Linked DNA regions of Arabidopsis thaliana. The protein of the gene in region 4 interacts with the protein of the main gene of each other region in a pairwise test. Each region holds a gene or a part of one and is shown on either strand. Other genes may lie near its edges.

Region 1 (4,398 bases), on a different chromosome or scaffold from region 4:
TACAACGATGGGGATACACCGCCTGGTCGTTGTTCTTTACCGGGCAAAAACTGCTTGTTAGGGAACTCTTCTACTGAAACATATATTGTAGGCCATAACTTACTTCTTGCGCACGCCTCTGCTTCAAGACTATATAAGCAAAAGTACAAGGTATACTTGCTTATACATAACCCTCTTTTGAATGTATAAGAAGCAACATACTATATACAATGTGCAGGATAAGCAGGGTGGTTCCATAGGCTTTGGCTTATATTTAATGGGGTTGACTCCTTCTACAAGCTCCAAGGATGATGCCATTGCAACTCAAAGAGCCAAAGATTTCTATTTCGGTTGGTGAGTCAGGCACAAACAGTTCTAAAAGGTTTTTCAAATTGGGCAACATGTGCAAGATCTTAAGCTGAAAAGAAAGAAAATCTGCTCTTTAAAACTCAGGTTCCTTGGACCTCTTATATTTGGAGACTATCCAGATACAATGAAAAGAACCATTGGATCAAGACTGCCAGTTTTCTCAGAGGAAGAATCAGAACAAGTTAAAGGCTCATCTGACTTCATAGGAATCAATCATTAGTTTGCGGCTTCTGTCACAAACATCAAATTCAAACCTTCTATTTCTGGAAACCCGGACTTCTACTCAGACATGGGCGCATATGTGACTTGTATGAATCAGACTCATTCTTTTGTATAACAAAAAAAAAACCTCTTTTATCTTTATAATTTGTTACTACTCATTTTTTCTTCGTTTTACTGGTTAGAAGACCTTGGGAATTTTTCAGTTATAGAGGTAAGAGTTTTAAGGCTACCAAATTCAGATACAAAACACCTTATATTCCTTGACATTATAAGTCTTTAAACAAATAAGTGCTACTAATCTATCTTTCATTGTTTGTTTTGTTTTTGTTTGGACAAGTATCCTGTTGCTCCGTGGACTATGGAAGCTGTCCTAGAGTATATAAAGCAGAGCTATGACAATCCTCCTGTCTACATTCTTGAGAATGGTCAATCTCTTCTATGATTAATTTATTCGTCTCTCCCTCATGTTTTTGATTTGGACTTAAAATGTCATATACAAACAGGTACACCGATGACGCAACACAAGGATACACATAGGGTGGAATACATGAATGCTTACATTGGTGGTGTGCTCAAATCCATAAGGTAAGTAAAGTTTTTTTATTGCATCTTTTCTTCTCTTATCTTGTTCGTGTAATTAAGGAAAAGGACATTGCTACGTGTAGGAATGGATCAGACACTAGAGGCTATTTTGTATGGTCATTTATGGATTTATTCGAGCTTATAGGGCGGTACGATTATGGTTATGGATTGTACTCTGTAAATTTCAGTGATCCACATCGCAAGAGATCTCCTAGACTCTCTGCTCATTGGTACTCTGATTTTCTCAAGGGCAAAACTTCTTTTCTTGATTCCAAAGGCATCAAGGAATTGCAGAGCAACTTCTCTTCTTCCTCTTAGTACTGTGATGAAATAACTCTTATGTTCTACTGAATTTAGACTACTTGTCATGAGAGCCACTTCTTTTTTTCTATAAATTCTAAATTAAACTAGTTTAGTAACTTTACACGACAAAATAATGAGAAATCACAGATGCTGAATACAAGAATTGCCCGTTTTTAAATGCTAAAAAGAAATTCGTACCCAGGCCTAAGCATGACATCAAGTTCAAGCTAGCATTGTATCAAAAAACCATATTACAGAACCATACAAACACTTGAATAGTTAGTAACTCTTAGCAAAGTTGTTTTTTACACAAAAGCATGCTAATCCGCATCAAAAAAGAGACACAAAAGAGCAGCTTCAAATTCATATACCATCCATTGTTAAGGCTGCATTTCCACATTAAAAAGAACAAAAGCGCAGCTTCCTACCTACATGTGAAAATCATAACAAAGACTGATCAGAAACTTAAGTATGTAAGTACTAAGCTAACAATCTAAACTCTAAAGCAAAATAGTTATACAAAAAAAAAAAACTCATTAATTTACCTGTTTGTCCCCCGTTTGGTTATGTTGATAAAGTTGGGATATTTTTTTCTTCAAAAAAAAAAGATTTCTACATCAAAATTTAAGAAACGACATTATTCTTACTGATCTTTAAGATCCGATAAAAGGAAAAAAAAAAACTTTATTCTTAACAAAAAAATGAGAAACAAGGATCAATTTTTCAAATATCATATAATTATCTTTTTTCTTTCTTATTCTCAATTAATAAATGTAATGTTGAATTTTGAGAATAATTTATAGTTAAAGATAAGTATATAACTTAGTAAAATATATCCTTCTACATAATCAGTTTGTTAAAAAAAAATCTACAAATTAGAAACTCCATCTAAATACGAGCTTCACAGATTGTTTCACAGAGAAAACAAAACTTTGGCTTCCTTCTCTCCTTGGTTCGTGTAAGTTGAATGTTTTTTTTTATTTTAAATTCGTGTTTCTTCTCTTCCGTTTTGCGAAGTTGATAATTTTGTTATAATCTTATATGAATATTTTTCAGGAAACATGGCTCAAGTTTGTCACACATGTAGACATGTAACAGCCGTGATCCATTGTGTTACAGAAGCTCTTAACTTCTGCCTTACATGTGACAACCTTCGCCATCATAATAACATACATGCAGAACACGTACGTTACCAACTTTGCGATAACTGCTCGATGTATCCGTCTATACTTTTCTGTTATGAGGACGGGATGGTTCTTTGTCAATCATGTTATTCGCACCATTACAATTGTGCCACTAATGGCCATCAAACTCAAGTCGTCTTCGCTAACATGAATAATCAACACCATGATCATGCACATATGCCTCATGTGGTTCACCATAACAATAACAATAATCATCAGCAGCAGCATGTGGGTGGTCACCAAAGAAGAGCAGAGATGTTTGAGAGGAGCTGCCACGGGGATAACAATTGCGAGAGATGGATGTTTGCAATGAGATGTGAGTTATGCGTAGCTTCGAATTCAAATGCTGTTGTTTATTGTCCTACACACAACCAGATTCTATGCGATAGTTGCGACCGGATGATTCACAGTCACGAGGACGCGGTGCCGCCGCATTCGAGGTGTAAGCTTTGCGTAATCTGCAAGAGACCTTCTCGCCGTTTTCTCATTGGCGGCTATCAGTTTAATTTCCCACCGGTTCATCCTCCTGCGGCAGAGGGGATTCCAGTTACGCCCCCAACAGAACTACCTCAACAAGATATTAATTATGATTATCTAGATGATGTTGATGATTTTTCTTGGTTTGGTAGGTGAATAGAAAATCGTCTTCTTTAGCTTTTTATTTATGTGTGTTTCTTAGAGTTTTCGTTAGGGGTTTAATTCTTGGTGTTATAATTGCTTCTGGATTTGAAAAAGAAAAGAAGAAGAAAAAAAAAACAATCAGTTGGATTTAATATGTTAGAAGAAAATAAAATGTCAAAACTAACTCCAATTTGTTCGAGGATGGAAGATATCATATCTTGATGTATGTATATCTCATCATTTAACTAGAAACTATCTAGAAACCACAATTACCGAAAAAACATAAAACAATTTTGCTAAAATGTTAAGAACACAAATTAATTTGATTAACAATCGATGCTTAAGGGGTTTATAGGAATTAAATAATATTTTTTTTTCAACAATAAAATTAAATTTCACTTTGCGATTTTAATTTTATTTAAGAAAGTCAAGAACCAACTCCAATATTTCCGGGGATGTGATTTTCTCAATAAAATCGTCTAATTATCTTGATTTTTGATGTTGTTGTTGTACTTTACGTGAATATCTCACAATTAGTAAGCAGAGTAGAAGATTTTGATTAGTATGACGACAAAAAATAGTACAAATAAAATTTACATGACCTTTTTTGTGTTAAAAAAAGTTACATGATGTTCTGCAAGAAAATATGCTTGTATAATAAATAATTTTTATTAATATTTTATTTCTGACTATTTTCTTCAATAAGAGAAAACATAGTCATTTTGTAAAAGGAAAGAACGAAATAAAAATGCAAATTCTTCACGTTTTGTTAAATAGATCTAATTTAGTTCTTATTTAAGAACTTAATATTACATCTTTAAACCAAAGTAAAATATACAAATATTGACAACTATCGGTCTAATTATTTCAATAAGCAAAGATTATAGAATAATTTCGTTAAGTGTATATATCGAAGAGAAAAAAACAAAGGACAAATCGGTCAATTCACTAATTTGATATAAACGGTACCAACAGATGACGAAGCGCCTCTCTATATATAGAGTACCTTCTTTCCCAAGAAACACTATCATCTTCATATTTTACATCTTCCGTTTCTTGTTTCTCTCCCTTCATCAATCATCATCAGCATTTTCCTTAAATCTTCTTCTTCTAAGAGATCTTAGTTTCACTGAAGAAC
Region 2 (5,207 bases), on a different chromosome or scaffold from region 4:
ATTAAAAAAAAAAAAAGGGTTCAAATCCTTTCCATCGTGCTGCAAATTGCACTTTTTGTTGGTCATCCAAATTGCTCATTAATCTTCGTTAAAAAATATATAACATTTGGGTGATGATTAAAAAAGTAGACTGTAGTGGACCCGCCACACCTAATCGTACCCAATGATAATCCGGTAAGGTTCGGTTCCATTTGTCCGCATTCCCAAACTTAGAAAATGAAACGGAAAGAAAAACATAATGTGTTTTAGTTTTTATCTTAAAAAACTATAGACAAAAACTCAAAACATTTTTCGGATTGTATACCAATAAATAGAGAGAATGTAGTTTTAACCTCGCAAGTCTCAACTGATGATCCGACTCGTCCAAAGCATGTTTATAGATTTAACTAGTTTAGCTACCATTCAAATTTGATTTTTAGGTTACCGTCCATTTTTATAGGACCAATTCTATAAGAAGTGGTTTAGATATCGGGTAGATTTTCATTTTCCGACTTCATGCATGATTTAGTTCTTAAAACTTGCATGTTTGGCTTCTACTAAGACAACCCTCGTTTTTCTGACGACTCACGTGGTCAAACGGTGCACAAAGGTCACGTGAGGCACGTGCGTTCTACTGTTTAAACGCCTCTTCTCTTTTGCTTCTTTTTTGCCAATTTGAAAGAGATAAGAATACAAATTAAAAAGATGTTTCTTCCACTTTCCTCATCGCCGTTCTATGCTCACTTTCTTTGGTCGGATTTCCAATTACATTGTTAACTATTAGTGGTCACATAATTTTTTCATGACGTGGATCACACTTCTCTTTTTACATGTCTATCTCCTTAATTAGTATCTTTAATTGCTTTCGACATCAAAAGCTAATATCTATGTTTTACACTCTATTAGTTGTTTAATATTCACAATATTCAATATCAAATCTCACCGTATTTGGAAAATGTTTATTAGTTCAGTACATGACACACTCGTAATCAACATTTTGAATTTTTTAAAATGTTTTATTTGTTCAGTACATGACACACTCGTACATTTCGAATTGCTTACTTTTTTTGCTTTAACAACGTCCAAGTACAAAGGAGATTCTCTAAGACTACAGGATTTGACTTTTTACCAGAGAATCTATCAGGTTAAAAACGATACACACACACACACACAAATTTACAAAAACAACTCTAGTCTCTCTACTTCTAAAAGTTTAATAATTTGTTTTTAACTTTGAACTACAAACGAACTCCATTTATTGTTTCTTGGATCACGTTAAGTAACGTGGCAGCTGAACGTTGACCTATGACTCAAAGTGAGTCCCACTCTAACTATCATCTTGACGGCTCAGAGTTCTCCACGAGTGTGAAGTGTCAATCGGAGGAGGGGGTAAAACCGTAAAAGCTTCCGACACGTCCCACGAAAAAGGATAATACGAGAAGGCTCTTCTCATCATCCAACGGCTCACGATTTAACAAGACTAGTCTCGCTTCTGTCTCTTCTCATACCCGTCGATCTGTCTTGGCTTTTCAGCTATCGCCACCTCTTCTCTCTTTTTTGCTTATCTCTTCAATTTTCGGATTTAAATTTTACGAAAAACAAAGAATTAGGATAATACTATTTGTCTCTCTAATTCTGACCATAATTAATTTTTATTTTCATATTTGACTTTTACAAATTCAAGTGTGGGAGTTCCTTTATTCTTGTTGTATCACTCTCAATGCTTAACTAGATTTGACATCCACATATGTGTTTGTCCGCTTATTATACATATGATGATATGAAAATATATCAATCATTATATCATTCGTAAGCTGAAAAATTAGTATGCTATTTTTTTCTATGTCGAAACGTAATTATTTATGACCATATTTGAACAATAATATCGCATTTTCACCTTTTATTTTTAACCTTTTAAGACTTTCCTTTTAGGTCTTCTAGATGCACACTGGACAGACACGCATATTCAAGATACGTGTGTTTTTGGAGGACTTCAAAAAAAAAAAACGAGATAATGATTTTCCCAAATTACATAAAGAAGAAAACAAATTGATTTTCCCAAATAAAGGAGTCAGAAAAATATAATTTAGGAACAAACAAAAAAGATACCTTTAATAATAAACAAAAATAACTCTAAAAATATTTTAAAATGAAATTCGTATGAAATATAAACCGCATAAACTTATCGTGACCGCCTTCAAATAAAAATAAAACCCTTTATTTTCTCTCTTTCAGCCGCCGCTTTCACTTACCTCTTCCTCTTCCTTCTTCTTCTTCTACCTTCTTCTCGTAAAGGTTTTGCTACACACTGGAGCTCGCAAATCTGGCTATCGAAAACCACAATCACAAACTCAACTTCGGGGCCTTCAAGGCCAATCACAAGAAAGTCATGGTGAGTCTTATTTTTAATTCTTTTTGTTTGTTTTTACCTTGCTATCAATCTTCTCCAGATTCTGATTTGGTTTCGTTTTGTTCAGGGACCAATGATAAGAACAGAGGAAGAAGAAGACTATACAAGTCCACCGTGGCTAATGCCAATGCTACGAGGGAGTTACTTCGTCCCTTGTTCCATCCATGTCGATTCAAACAAAAACGAATGCAATTTGTTCTGTCTTGATTGTGCTGGAAATGCCTTTTGCTCTTACTGTTTAGTCAAACATAAAGACCATCGTGTTGTTCAGGTTCAATATCTCTTCTTCTTCTTTTTCTCCTCCTCAATCTCTCGGTTTTTTAATTGTAATGTTAATGAAAAGAATCAAAATTTGCAGATACGAAGATCTTCGTACCATAACGTTGTGAGAGTGAATGAGATACAGAAGTTCATAGACATCGCTTGTGTTCAGACATATATTATCAACAGCGCAAAGATCGTGTTCCTCAATGAAAGACCTCAGCCTAGAATCGGTAAAGGTGTTACAAACACTTGTGAAATCTGTTGCAGAAGTCTCCTTGATTCTTTCAGGTTCTGCTCTCTCGGCTGCAAGGTATAACACAAAAAGACTCTCCCTCTGTTTTTTCCCCTGTTTTCACCATTTTTGTTTGAAACAATTCATATGGTTTTAACAAAAATGTAAACTTTCTTAAAACCCATTAACGCATTTCACTTCTTAATGATATCTATATCAAATTTTATCCGGTTTTGTTTAGTTTTGTTCGTGATTCATGTGGATATGCTCTGTTTTTGTAATGTTATTTGTGGAAATAACGATATTGTCCTTTGGTTGTTTTTTGTTCTGTTTAGCTTGGAGGAATGAGGAGAGGAGATTTATCTCTAACCTTCTCTTTGAAAGGAAAGCATGGGAGAGAGTACCTTGGTGGGTCGGAATCAGATGAAGCTACTACACCGACTAAGATGCGTAAGACCAATGCTTTCAACCGTCTGATGAGTGGTCTCTCGATCTCAACCGTTAGATTCGATGACTACGGTCCCAATGGTGATCAAAGGTCTTCAAGCTCTGGTGATGAAGGTGGTTTTAGTTTCTCTCCGGGAACACCTCCGATCTATAATCACCGGAATTCAAGCAGACGAAAGGGTGTCCCTCACCGTGCTCCGTTCTAAGAAAAGATAATTACTAAATTTCCAACCCCATAGTAATTAATTATATATATATATATATAGATAATGGTATAATACAATGTATAACTTGGGGTGAAATTTAGGATGTAGTCATAATGTTGTAAATGTGTATTATTTCTTTTTATAGTTTTTCTAAAAGATAAAGGTGAAATAATTAGAACACATACATAAATACATTTTTTATAAGTATAGAAGAATTAGGTTTTATAGTGGAAGTGTTTGATGTTTAGTTTGTTTAAAAGGCATGGCTTTGTCTTGTGTTGTAATGTAATGTGTACATTAAATTTTTGTTCATACAATAATAATATCAAGGTGAATGATATATTATAAAGTTTATGCGTTGTCTAATGACTAGTGACTACTATATTTAGTCTATATCACCATTTTGTGACATTCATCTAAAACAAATGTTAGTGTAGTCTAATCCTTTCATGAACTGTTTTATATGGTAATGTGTAACTGAAGTCATGTCGTCATGGTTACATGGTTTGTATAAAAGTCGTAAGAGTGACACTGAGACATATTTTTCAATACTATTGATTGATTTGTTGTAGTTTGACGTAATCAAGAAGAATATTATAATAGTATACGCTAAAGAATATTATTATGCGGTTTAAAAAGTGAGCAAGTGGATAGAGGAAAATAAGAGCCGTGTGGAATCCGAAAGGCTGCGATTCTCTCTCACCGTTAAGAGACGGGTGTTCATTCCTTTTTCTGATCGCTCAAAATTATTCAACATCATATTTTAAACTCTCTACTAATCCACGGAATCGAATAATTGGCAAACTGTTATTGCTTATAAAATTTCATTAGTTATAATAATGTTTTAATTATGCCATTTCGTAAACACAAAAATCGTTTTCTGTAGCTTTTTAGGTATCCCACAAATTTACGTTTTCTTCTTTTCACTAGGTTTTCACACTTAAAGCATCACAACTTTTTACTTTTACCAAAAAAGTTCCGAGCTTGGTTCATAATTTCTCGGAGTCGAAAACTAGAATTTCAAATTATCTTGTTTAGGATCACTACAAATTTTATTTTACGAAAATGTTAACATCAAAAATAATTTATATAAGGCGGTAATCACATATTTTCAGTATATATAGTTTTTTCACTGTAGTTTGGTTTTCTAGAATAAGTAGTTACACAAAGAATTTATGATAAACGACTGTGAATGTGTGCTTGTCCTAAGTTAGTAGTTACCGAAAAAAATAGAAACAATATCTCAAAATAATATCGGAGTCTCACTTGTAAGTTGTGAAGGCCACCACAACATATATTTGTTGCATTTCTGTCTAAATCTTTGAACAGAAATGAAGTAAAGGAAACAAGAAATCGCATTATTTCTAATCTTATACTTTTGGATAAAACCTTTGCTATTTTAGTCCTTGCCAACAACAATACATGTATACAAGAGAGAGTATTGCGACCAAGGACCGTGGCTCTGCCACGTAATCTTAGACCGGCCCCTACCGGCTTAGGCAGCGACCGAATGGGGGCATTATAGACTTTTCAATAGGTCGGACTTTTCAGCTAGTTGTGCATCCTCGTCACTCCGACTACGACACGTGTCGAAGAAACCCATTAAGTGTACGACACGTGTGTTGAGAGAGTGTGAGGGGACCACGTGAGACCTTGTGTGGAGTTATCT
Region 3 (4,772 bases), on a different chromosome or scaffold from region 4:
ACCCCAATTCTTAAAAGGGATGACATATATTAATAAATTCACCCAATTAAGCATTTATTACTTTATTCTAATCATTACGTTTTAGAACTCTATGTAACATCCGGACACGAATTAAAGTTCTGTAAAATTTGCCTACAGTTTTGATGCAAACATTCCTACCTATACAATTGATTAGTTGTATAGTACCACTCTATATTTCGGCCTAATAATCCGATATAAATTTAGGTAAAATTAATCTTTGTTTTGATAAAACTTCAGTAGAGTTATATCTGGCGCACAACATTTTTGGTGTGTTTGGTAAATTGTATCGCTAGGATCGGAACGGTTGCACCAGAAGATGATGACTATATCGTGGTCCGACCACAATTGTATTACTGTTGTATTAGTCAAAGATATAATTCTAAAAGAGCCAAAATTAATATCATCATATATTATAGTATTAATAGTTTGACTCATTTATACTATGAAAAAAGAATTATAATTTTCATTCCCAATGCCATTAAGCAATGTGCAAAAAGCTTTACCAAGAATCGTCACATTTCCAACCCTTAATACAAGGAGTCCATCACACTTTTGTACCGTAGCCCATTCGGTTAAAAAGGCAAGGTATTCATTCAAATCTAATTAATTTGATTGTTGGTTTACGTGGCTTATATGACGTAGTATTTGTTTTTGCTACAAAAACTTGTGTAGTCATTTGCAGGATTTCTATTAATGCTCGTATATATTTACGTAAGTTTTTGCTAAAAAGGCTAATATATACTTGCATATTACGTACTTCACACCAAAAGTACTAACTTATCCATATATATGAGCATTAGCCTTTTATAACATCATCAAATTAGATATACTAAAGATTATCTAACAGACTAACACTTAACCAAAAAGATTTCAATACAGATCAAAGCTTATCACACCAAATCTATATGTTTGCCTTTATTGAGTTCTACTATAAGAATTTTTGTATATGTATTCTTCCCAAGACTAATTAGTTAATGAAAATATGTACTCTCTTATTAACTAGAACGTTCTATTAATTATACATTTTTTCGAACATGGAATACATAAAAATATCAATCTAAATTCCACAATGACTGAAACGTAAGTGTTCTTACTCTTTTGAAAAGTTTGATTAAAGTCTCTAAACTAAATAATCCAGAGTTTGATTAGAGCTCATAGTCATCTTCTAATTGTTCTGTTTTTCTTTGAACTCTTACTTAACAGTCGTGTTATCGTTGACTATGAGCAATTTTCTTGATTCATCAATAGAACTGTTGTCGGGTAAGGCATTAACTTCCTAATGCAATCATATATGAAAATAGACGAAGCTCCTATGTATATATATATAATCCTACAAAACTACAAACACAAAGAGACTAAGATTGTTGTTGACTTGTGCTTGTTTGCAACTTTGCATACAAGGACATCAATACAAAATTGTCCACTGAGCTATTTAATTAAAACCAAATTTATACGTACTTCCTAAGCATTTTAATTTTTGTTTAGTTCATCGTGTCTTTCTCTAAACCACTCCCATTGAAAAATCAGAACAAGGTGACAAAATTGTTCTCATTTCTATTTCCGCTTAAAATGCGGGTAACCATGTGATTTGATCAGGGGTTGTAGAAACTAACACTGATTTTGAAATATATTTATTTTTGAATTGTTGATATATTGTGTTAGAAAATAACATTATCGAACCTACCTCAGTGCACTCAAATTAATTGGACATCCTTATCGTAATTAGCAATGCATGCATATCATCTCAAGGATATATCAATTAAGTAGGGGATTTAACCTAAAGAAATATATCGATTATTTTTACGTAGACCCTTGACCTTTAGGCTAAGGTATGTAGGGTTATTATGCATGTTGCACGTGACCACTAAGTAGATTATTTGAGTTAATCAATTAGCTTGATCCCATTGAAATAGAAGATTCAAATAGGATGATGCAATATATACATCACAATTACTTTTCTTAAGTTACTCGGTACTTAGTATGTATTTATTACTTGTTCTTTCTTCTAACTCGAGATTGGTTACTGTGACATTCCAGATTTTGCTGTAGTTCCAATGATTCTTGGCCTCTGTTTTAGGCTTTCATAAGTAGCCATCCGTGTATATACATACATATATATACTGTACACACAGTTAAAATTAAGACTGTTTTAAAAAAAGAAACCCTTAATAATAATCAGTCAATTAAGCTGTTTAAAATTTGTATGAATTTATTTCAGCTGGTTAAGCCATATAAAAATCCAACTAATGTGTCAGCGTTTTTTTTTTTGTTTTTTTTGTCGTTGATGCAAAATATAATATCTTTGGAAATATAATAAAAGAAACAAAACAAAAGATGGTCTACTAAAAGCAGTTGAATCAAAAGTGAAGTCTCTCTATCTTCTCTCTCTATCAAGCTCATTGTCTCTCTATTTATAACAACACTTCACTTCCATTCTCAAACAGCACCATCATCTTTAGACAGAAGCAAAGCCAAAAAAAAACTTACTCATCATAAGATATCTTTAACCAAAACCCTAAAAGAAACCTCCTTTCAAAAAAACCATTTCTTCATCATCATGTCAACCTCCAAAACCCTAGACCATAATAAACCATTTGAAACATCCCAAACGCAAATGGGTTTTGCTCTGATCCACCAAAACACATCCGCCAACACAACCACCACCACCACAACCGGCGAGAGACGAGGCCGGAGATCAAAGCAAGCGGAGCCAGGGAGGTTCCTAGGAGTCCGGAGACGTCCATGGGGTCGTTACGCAGCCGAGATAAGAGATCCAACCACCAAAGAACGTCACTGGCTAGGCACTTTCGACACAGCTCACGAAGCTGCTCTTGCCTACGATAGAGCTGCTCTTTCAATGAGAGGTACTCAAGCTCGAACCAACTTCGTCTACACTCCAACTGATGTCCACACCATCCTCACAAACCCTAATCTCCACTCTCTCATTGTCTCTCCTTACAATAACAACCAATCTTTCTTACCAAACTCTTCTCCACAGTTTGTCATCGATCATCATCCTCATTATCAAAACTATCATCAACCACAACAACCTAAACACACTCTCCCCCAAACTGTCTTACCCGCGGCTTCTTTCAAAACGCCAGTTCGTCATCAAAGCGTGGATATTCAAGCGTTTGGTAATAGTCCTCAAAACTCATCTTCTAACGGCTCGTTATCTTCTTCACTAGACGAAGAAAACAACTTCTTCTTCTCTTTAACAAGCGAAGAACATAATAAGTCCAATAACAACTCGGGTTACTTGGATTGCATTGTCCCAAACCACTGCCTTAAACCACCTCCGGAGGCCACCACCACCCAAAATCAAGCCGGAGCTAGTTTCACAACTCCGGTAGCAAGCAAAGCCTCTGAACCATATGGAGGGTTTAGTAATAGCTACTTCGAAGATGGTGAGATGATGATGATGAATCATCATGAGTTTGGTTCGTGTGATCTCTCTGCCATGATCACGAACTATGGTGCTGCTGCCGCTTCAATGTCAATGGAAGATTACGGGATGATGGAGCCGCAAGATTTATCTTCTTCTTCTATCGCTGCTTTTGGAGATGTCGTTGCAGACACTACAGGCTTCTACTCAGTCTTTTAGAACATTCTATATTATATATGTTTTTTATATATGCAATAATATTATTAGTATTTACGTTATTCGATGGTCGTTTGATTGTTGTTGTTAACTATATGTTATCGACTTTATTATATAAATCCTGCTTATTGTTTCATGCATCATAAGGTTACCTTACCTTGAAGTTTTGATTTGTTTTTTCTTTAATTTGTATTATGGTTTTGATTAGCAAAAAGGGATAATCCGAGTTGTATTAAAGACCACTTTTTGTCCATGCTACTTCGACACACTCATTATGTATATTTTATAAGTGTGCTATATTATAATAATAATGAAATCAAATGACTTGCTCCAAACGGATAAATGACTAGGATCGGAGTGAACAACTAATATATCACATGTAATATTAGGATTATAAGATCAGATGCAAATACCCCATTTTTCTATTTTTGATCAGTATGTGCTCAGATATTATGATTATTTTATGACAGTTATAAATTTTGACGTTAGTTTGAATTATAACATAATTGAGAGTCTAAGTTATAAAATTTAAAATTTAAAATTAGTGAATGTGAGATGGACTTTTAGTGAAGTAGCATGATGGTGTTTTTGGTCGTTAAACATGTGTTTTGGTCATGACTTGTTTGGTATTTCATTGCACAATCACTGTTTCATGTCTCCCTCCTTTTGCCTATATTTTGCCTTAACTTTTGTCTACAACAACTCAACATCACAACTCTTTATTTCATTTTTAAATCTGTTTAAGGTTTTTGACTTTCTTTCATAGAACTCAATTAGTGCCTTCTCCAATGTTGATCAACTATACACTTTTTTTGTTAACTCAACAAAGATCCAATCCTGTTATACTAGTCAAACATATATACGTTGGGAATTCATCATATATATATATGCTTCACAATTTGTCTAGCTTCAAATTAAATAACTTCCAAATAGTTACTGAAATTTGTATTGTTAATTATCTGTTTTGCATGCGTCAATATATATAACGATTTAGGCAAAATGTTCATTTTACTATAAGAAAAAAATAAATTAACTCGATAAAGACTGTAGAGTATGTGAAAAATATTTTAAAACAATCGATATTTTAATTTTAAAAAGAATTAAACAATCGATTAATATCTCCACAACTATGTGAAGTCTACTGTAACTC
Region 4 (5,384 bases):
CTAGTTTTAAAAGTTAACGAAATATTTTTAATAAAATTTTGCTATTTTGAATTTATTTTTTGAGTTTTTTTTATATGTTTTTCATTTTTTATAGTTATTTTTAGTTATATATTAAGCAAATACTTCTGATTTTAACGGATATATGATGAGTTACGGAACGAATACATATCAGATAACTAAGAGCATATCACAAATACCACCAAAATCGAGGATATTCATTCCCTAACTCATCCCTAGTATACATAACAAACATTTTGGAAAAAATAAGGGTAAACGAGATCGTTGAATGACTAGGGTTCAAGGTTTTTCACTATAATCTTAATTTTATTGATAAATGTTATTTCTTTTTTCTTAACAATTTAAAATTGTATTATTTCGAAAAGTATTTATGAAGTATTTAAACAACAACAAATTCTAACTTATCAATAACAAAATTTGATTTGAATTGTAATGGTTTGCTATTGTACCATTTTGGCCTACTTTGCTGTAGGTTTTAAATAGAAATATGAACTTAGAAGAAACCCCTATAAACTTATTACCCTCCCATATAGTTTAATCTTATCAATAAAGGGTTCGAGGTTGCATTTTTTGGGGATAACGACCAAAATCAACCCCAACTATTTTGATGCGGTCTTTTTTTAATTCAAATTTTGGTCATCTGTATTTATCAACCTAGACTTACATAATTTTTAAATAACAAACTGAACTGTGTAACATATACATGTTAATGTCGATTTGAATTGTTAAGTTAAAATTATCACTTATTTTGTATCTAAATCATTCCTTTTATTTAATTGGCTAACGATTAATATTAATTTATAATGAATATATGTTGAAATTGGCTAACGGTTACATAACTCAGATTTATTATTTGAAAATTGTGTGAGTTCGGATTGATAAATGCATGTAATCAAAATTTAGGTAGGAAAAAACCGCATAGAAATAATTGAGATTGATTTTGACCGTTCGTATTGATGTAATCAAAATTCCATGATTATCGATAGATCAAGCTGATTGCATAACATGAAGAAGAAGAAAACTTCCACTGAAAAGCAACTTGCTTGTTTTAGTTTTGAACTACCAAAAAACATTCAACTGTTCACAAGTTCTGTTGTAAAACAACTATTGTTGATTTCGGTTCAAGATCACGTTGTAATCGATAATTAAGATCATAACATTGTAATCAAATATAGTACATCTCTAGCATTTCTTTCATGCCTCCGGATCTGTGAGGAATTCCTTTTTAAAAATTTACTGAAATAGTCATTTCTTCATAGTAGTAATTAAAATTTTAACTTATTCATCATAGAGATAAAACGGTTGTCAATTACAATTAAAACCTAGACGATACTTAGCTAGTAATTACAAATTACACATAACGAGAGATAACTAGTTAACTACTAATATAACAACTGCATCATTAATCACTAGCGAAGCATAGTTGTGAACATACGAGTACGAAAGAGAGAGAGAGAGGAAAGAGCTTTAATCCCGAGCGACACCGGCGTAAGAGCTAGTTCAGACGTAGCTCAAGAGAAGCGCAAGGGCGAACTTCCGATTGGCCATACTTCCAGATGGCACCACTACCACCGTTGATGTGATCTTCACCGTGCATAGGGAAGAGAGGAAGCGTACGTCGATGTTCCAGATAAGCATCGCCACCACATTCTTCTTCTTCTTGATGACCTTCTAGACCAAACAGAGGCTTTGCTCTATCGAAGAAGTTGTAAGGTGCAGATGAGTAATGATGATCCATGTTTGCCCATCCTCCACCTACGTTGTTGTAATTCATAGAACAGTCTTGTTCCTTCACCCAAAAATTTCAGTTTCATTAAATTTCTATTCATATATGTAGTATAAATATTATTTGAATTAATGAATTATAGTTTGGTACGTACCATAGATCCATAGACATGGCTACTCATGTAGCCATTAGAAGCATTAACAACACCACATTCAGTACCTGAGCTTGCATGATTTAAATTCCCTTCAAACATATTAATATACGTATCATCAGTGATCATATATGTTGTGATTCCAGAATCCAGACCATACTATATACAGGGGAAAAGAATGAAGAAAGAGACATAAAATTAGTGATTTTTTTTCTACTAACCCAAATCCCTAATTGTGTTACAAGTCACAAATGAAAATAAAATGCACGTGAGTCTAGTTTCCATTACACAACAAAGAAACCGTTCTTTAGATGCAAATTTGGTTTGCCCCAATCAAGATCCATAACTTCAAATATACGTCATTACATGTACATAACATCTTCTTGGGTTTAATTATTTTTACTAATTCATGTAATAATAGATGGTGTGTAACATGTTCCTATAATATATATTTTAGATTTTTAAATCAAAACCATCTGAATAAATTCATAAATCAACAGCATTTTTTAAAATCTTTTTAACAATTAACATATACATATATCTATCAAAGTCATATATGTAGATCTTGTTAGTTTTTTTTTTTTTGTGTGTGCTAATTCATGTAATAGCTAGTGGTGTAAATGGTTCTCTTAGTAATTATAAAAAACCACCTGAATAAATTCATAAAAAAGCATGTATAAGAGAGATTAGTCACCGTTATTGAAGCTGGGATATGGCTTGTTATGATGATAGAGATGATGGTCTTGGTTAAGTTTAACGTTGACGGAATTAGCAGGTCTCTGCATGGGAACACCGTGATGATGGTGAAGTAGAGGATGATAATGATCGTTAGCCGCCATCATAACCGAGTTGGGTGATGAAGATGGTGTGGTCATGTTTGTTCCGTTGAATCTCTTCTTCTGACGCTCACGAGCCTTATGGTTCTGGAACCAGTAAAAGACGTTCTTGCCCTCAATCTTTCCGAACTGTCTCAGCCTTGCAGTGATCTTCTGGATCTGATCGGCTGTTGGTGACCGGATTGCATTGTTGTAGTAAAGTTCTTTGAGGATTTTGATTTGCTCCGTCGTCGGTGTCCACCTCGTGCTGGTCTGGCGACACGTGTAACCACCAGAGCCGGACTTGTTGTTGTTGTTGTTGCCGCTTTCTTGGTCGGCTTGATGATGATGATGCTGATGCTGTGGCGGCTCCATGTGTGTTTGATTCGACTTTTGTTCACAAAGTTAACGGTAAATAAGATCAAGACTTAGAGAGGAACAAGAGAAAGAGAAGTTTGAAGTTAGCAAGAAAACAACTTGCTGGTAGTAAAGAGATTTTAGGTTTTGTGTGAGAGAGAAGATTATATATATATAGAGAGATAGTAAGGTATTGAGTTATATATATAAATGGGGACCCAAAAAGAAGGTTTTACAATATTCTAGAAAATCAGTTATTCACTATATTATTCTTTTATGCATGTAGATATGATTTCATACATACAAAACCCTATTGAAAAATGTGCTTGGATATAAGAAATAAATTTTGCCAAAGAAAAGGATATAAGAAAGAAAAATAATCAATTGAATTAACATTCAAATAAAATGTTATGTTTAGGAAGGAAATTCTCTTGTCAAATATATTATTTGATTTTTTTTTATTCAGAGGAAAAATCGAAACTACTCTTGAGAGTTTTAGTGAGAATAATAATAATTTTTATGAAAAAATTTGTGGGGGATCGAATCAGAGGATATCTGGTGGAGAAGGATTGAAAGGGACAGAGAAGTTAGAAATAAACATGAAAATGGAAAGGGACAAAGGAGGGAATTAGAAAGGTGAGGGCATCATCGGTATTTACTTAGACGAAAAACAAACTCTCTTTTTTCAATTTCTCTGTCTCTTCACAATTATTACTTCACCAGCTTTAATTGTTATGTATCTGTCTACGTATGAAAGATATTTACCCATACACACAGAAAACAAAACAAAAATTCTAAAAGATCGTTATGAATTATTGTATCGTAGGAATGAAAGAAAACGATTATAATTTTTTTCTAGAATGAATAATAAAAAAAGTGAAAACCGTTTGATCATAAAAATACATTTTTCCTTCCTTATGGTCATGAGTCATGACACATAGGTGATATAGGATATTTTTCGTGGTGATATCGTCCGGAAATGTGTTGAAGAAATACTCTATATAATTTTACTTATGCTTTGCTTTAAAAGATATTAAAATTTATGTCAATTACAATGTGTGAAACGAGTGTGAAGACAGGTGTACTTATGAACATGTTGAGTATTCTTTAGTTAATTATATGCTCGAATTTATAGGAGCATGGATGGATCTTTTTGTATAAATGCGTGATTTATTCATTTTTTTTAAAAAGTTTGAAGGGCTTTGTTTTAGTGAATATGACTTTTGTAATTGAAAAGGAACAATACCCAACTTTTGTATAGTCTTATTGTTCTACGTAACAGCCACATATTGTATATAAAAGATATATAAAGATTTTTTTAGGAATCTACAAATTTCATAGAAGCTATTATAGTTTTTATGGGGAATGGCCCTGAAGATACGGCTGATAAAATATTTATTTTTTTTAAAATAAAAAACCAAAGATCCGATCACTGAAGTTGCTTGGCTATTTCATAGTATAGTTTTGTTTATATAGCCCCCATGATTTCTCGGATTCAACACAACGTGCAAAGAGTATCGGAAAATTAAAAATAGGTTTTACAAACTAACTATTGTAACTATTAATATTTGGAAAACAATCTAAGGATTGAAGTCTTAAAAAATTTTTTTTGTTAAAAGGTTAAGTCTTATAATCTTTTATCACCTAAATAAACTCAGTTGTATCCCAAATTTTTGTTGGTAAAGAAAGTATTTAGTTAGACTGGTGGATTACTCATTTTTTAACTTTAGTCGATTATATTGGATAAACTTTTGGATTCCATCCAATCGATATATCCGATTTGTAATGTCGTTTGGCATTTCTATCGAATCAACGGTCCAATATTTTTATCCAACTAGGAGATTACACCAAGTCACCAAACTATAAACTAACTAACAAATGATAAAATCATATCTCTAGTTGGATTGTGAATGTCTTTTGACAAGAAACAAAGAATGTCTTGTTACTCTACATGCGTATGCAGTGTATATATAGATGTACACTCCATGAGGATTATACTTCTTCACTATAATAAAGCATAAAGTTTGAAGTTAAAAAAAAAAAAAAAGATGTACACAAGCAACTACATGAACATATGGTCACATTTACATACTGGTTTTTTTTTTTGGTAAAACTTTACGTAGTGGTTGCTACTTAGAATACTCTCTATAGGCCCTTTGATTTATAAACTCCTATGAGTACGTACGGTAACGAGCATGCAGTGAGAAACAGGGGATCTTAATTTACGCATCACGATCTTTTTCATTGTCGTAAAGTACTGTTGAAGAGGCAGAGGGCTAAAAGACGCAGAGCTTTTGTAACTAATGTCTACGTGGCC

The links.
Region 1: the proteins of WUS (region 4) and BBX26 interact in a two-hybrid assay, tested with the Arabidopsis thaliana proteins (one large-scale study listed by BioGRID).
Region 2: the proteins of WUS (region 4) and AT1G21000 interact in a two-hybrid assay, tested with the Arabidopsis thaliana proteins (one large-scale study listed by BioGRID).
Region 3: the proteins of WUS (region 4) and PUCHI interact in a two-hybrid assay, tested with the Arabidopsis thaliana proteins (one large-scale study listed by BioGRID).

The regions. Positions count from the first base shown.
Region 1 is NC_003070.9:22,215,951-22,220,348, reverse strand, and holds BBX26 (B-box zinc finger family protein), read left to right. Parts: upstream 1-2,516; coding exon 2,517-3,272; downstream 3,273-4,398.
Region 2 is NC_003070.9:7,335,551-7,340,757, forward strand, and holds AT1G21000 (PLATZ transcription factor family protein), read left to right. Parts: upstream 1-2,054; 5' UTR 2,055-2,368; coding exon 2,369-2,371; exon of another isoform or gene 2,372-2,375; intron 2,376-2,456; coding exon 2,457-2,660; intron 2,661-2,747; coding exon 2,748-2,963; intron 2,964-3,220; coding exon 3,221-3,538; 3' UTR 3,539-3,902; downstream 3,903-5,207.
Region 3 is NC_003076.8:6,163,712-6,168,483, reverse strand, and holds PUCHI (Integrase-type DNA-binding superfamily protein), read left to right. Parts: upstream 1-2,443; 5' UTR 2,444-2,578; coding exon 2,579-3,625; 3' UTR 3,626-3,958; downstream 3,959-4,772. UniProt on the Arabidopsis thaliana protein: Probably acts as a transcriptional activator. May be involved in the regulation of gene expression by stress factors and by components of stress signal transduction pathways.
Region 4 is NC_003071.7:7,807,587-7,812,970, forward strand, and holds WUS (Homeodomain-like superfamily protein), read right to left. Parts: upstream 3,226-5,384; 5' UTR 3,086-3,225; coding exon 2,590-3,085; intron 1,988-2,589; coding exon 1,899-1,987; intron 1,808-1,898; coding exon 1,514-1,807; 3' UTR 1,285-1,513; downstream 1-1,284. Other genes in the region: AT2G17960 (uncharacterized protein), read right to left, coding at 4,794-4,868, 5,253-5,384. UniProt on the Arabidopsis thaliana protein: Transcription factor that plays a central role during early embryogenesis, oogenesis and flowering, probably by regulating expression of specific genes. Required to specify stem cell identity in meristems, such as shoot apical meristem (SAM).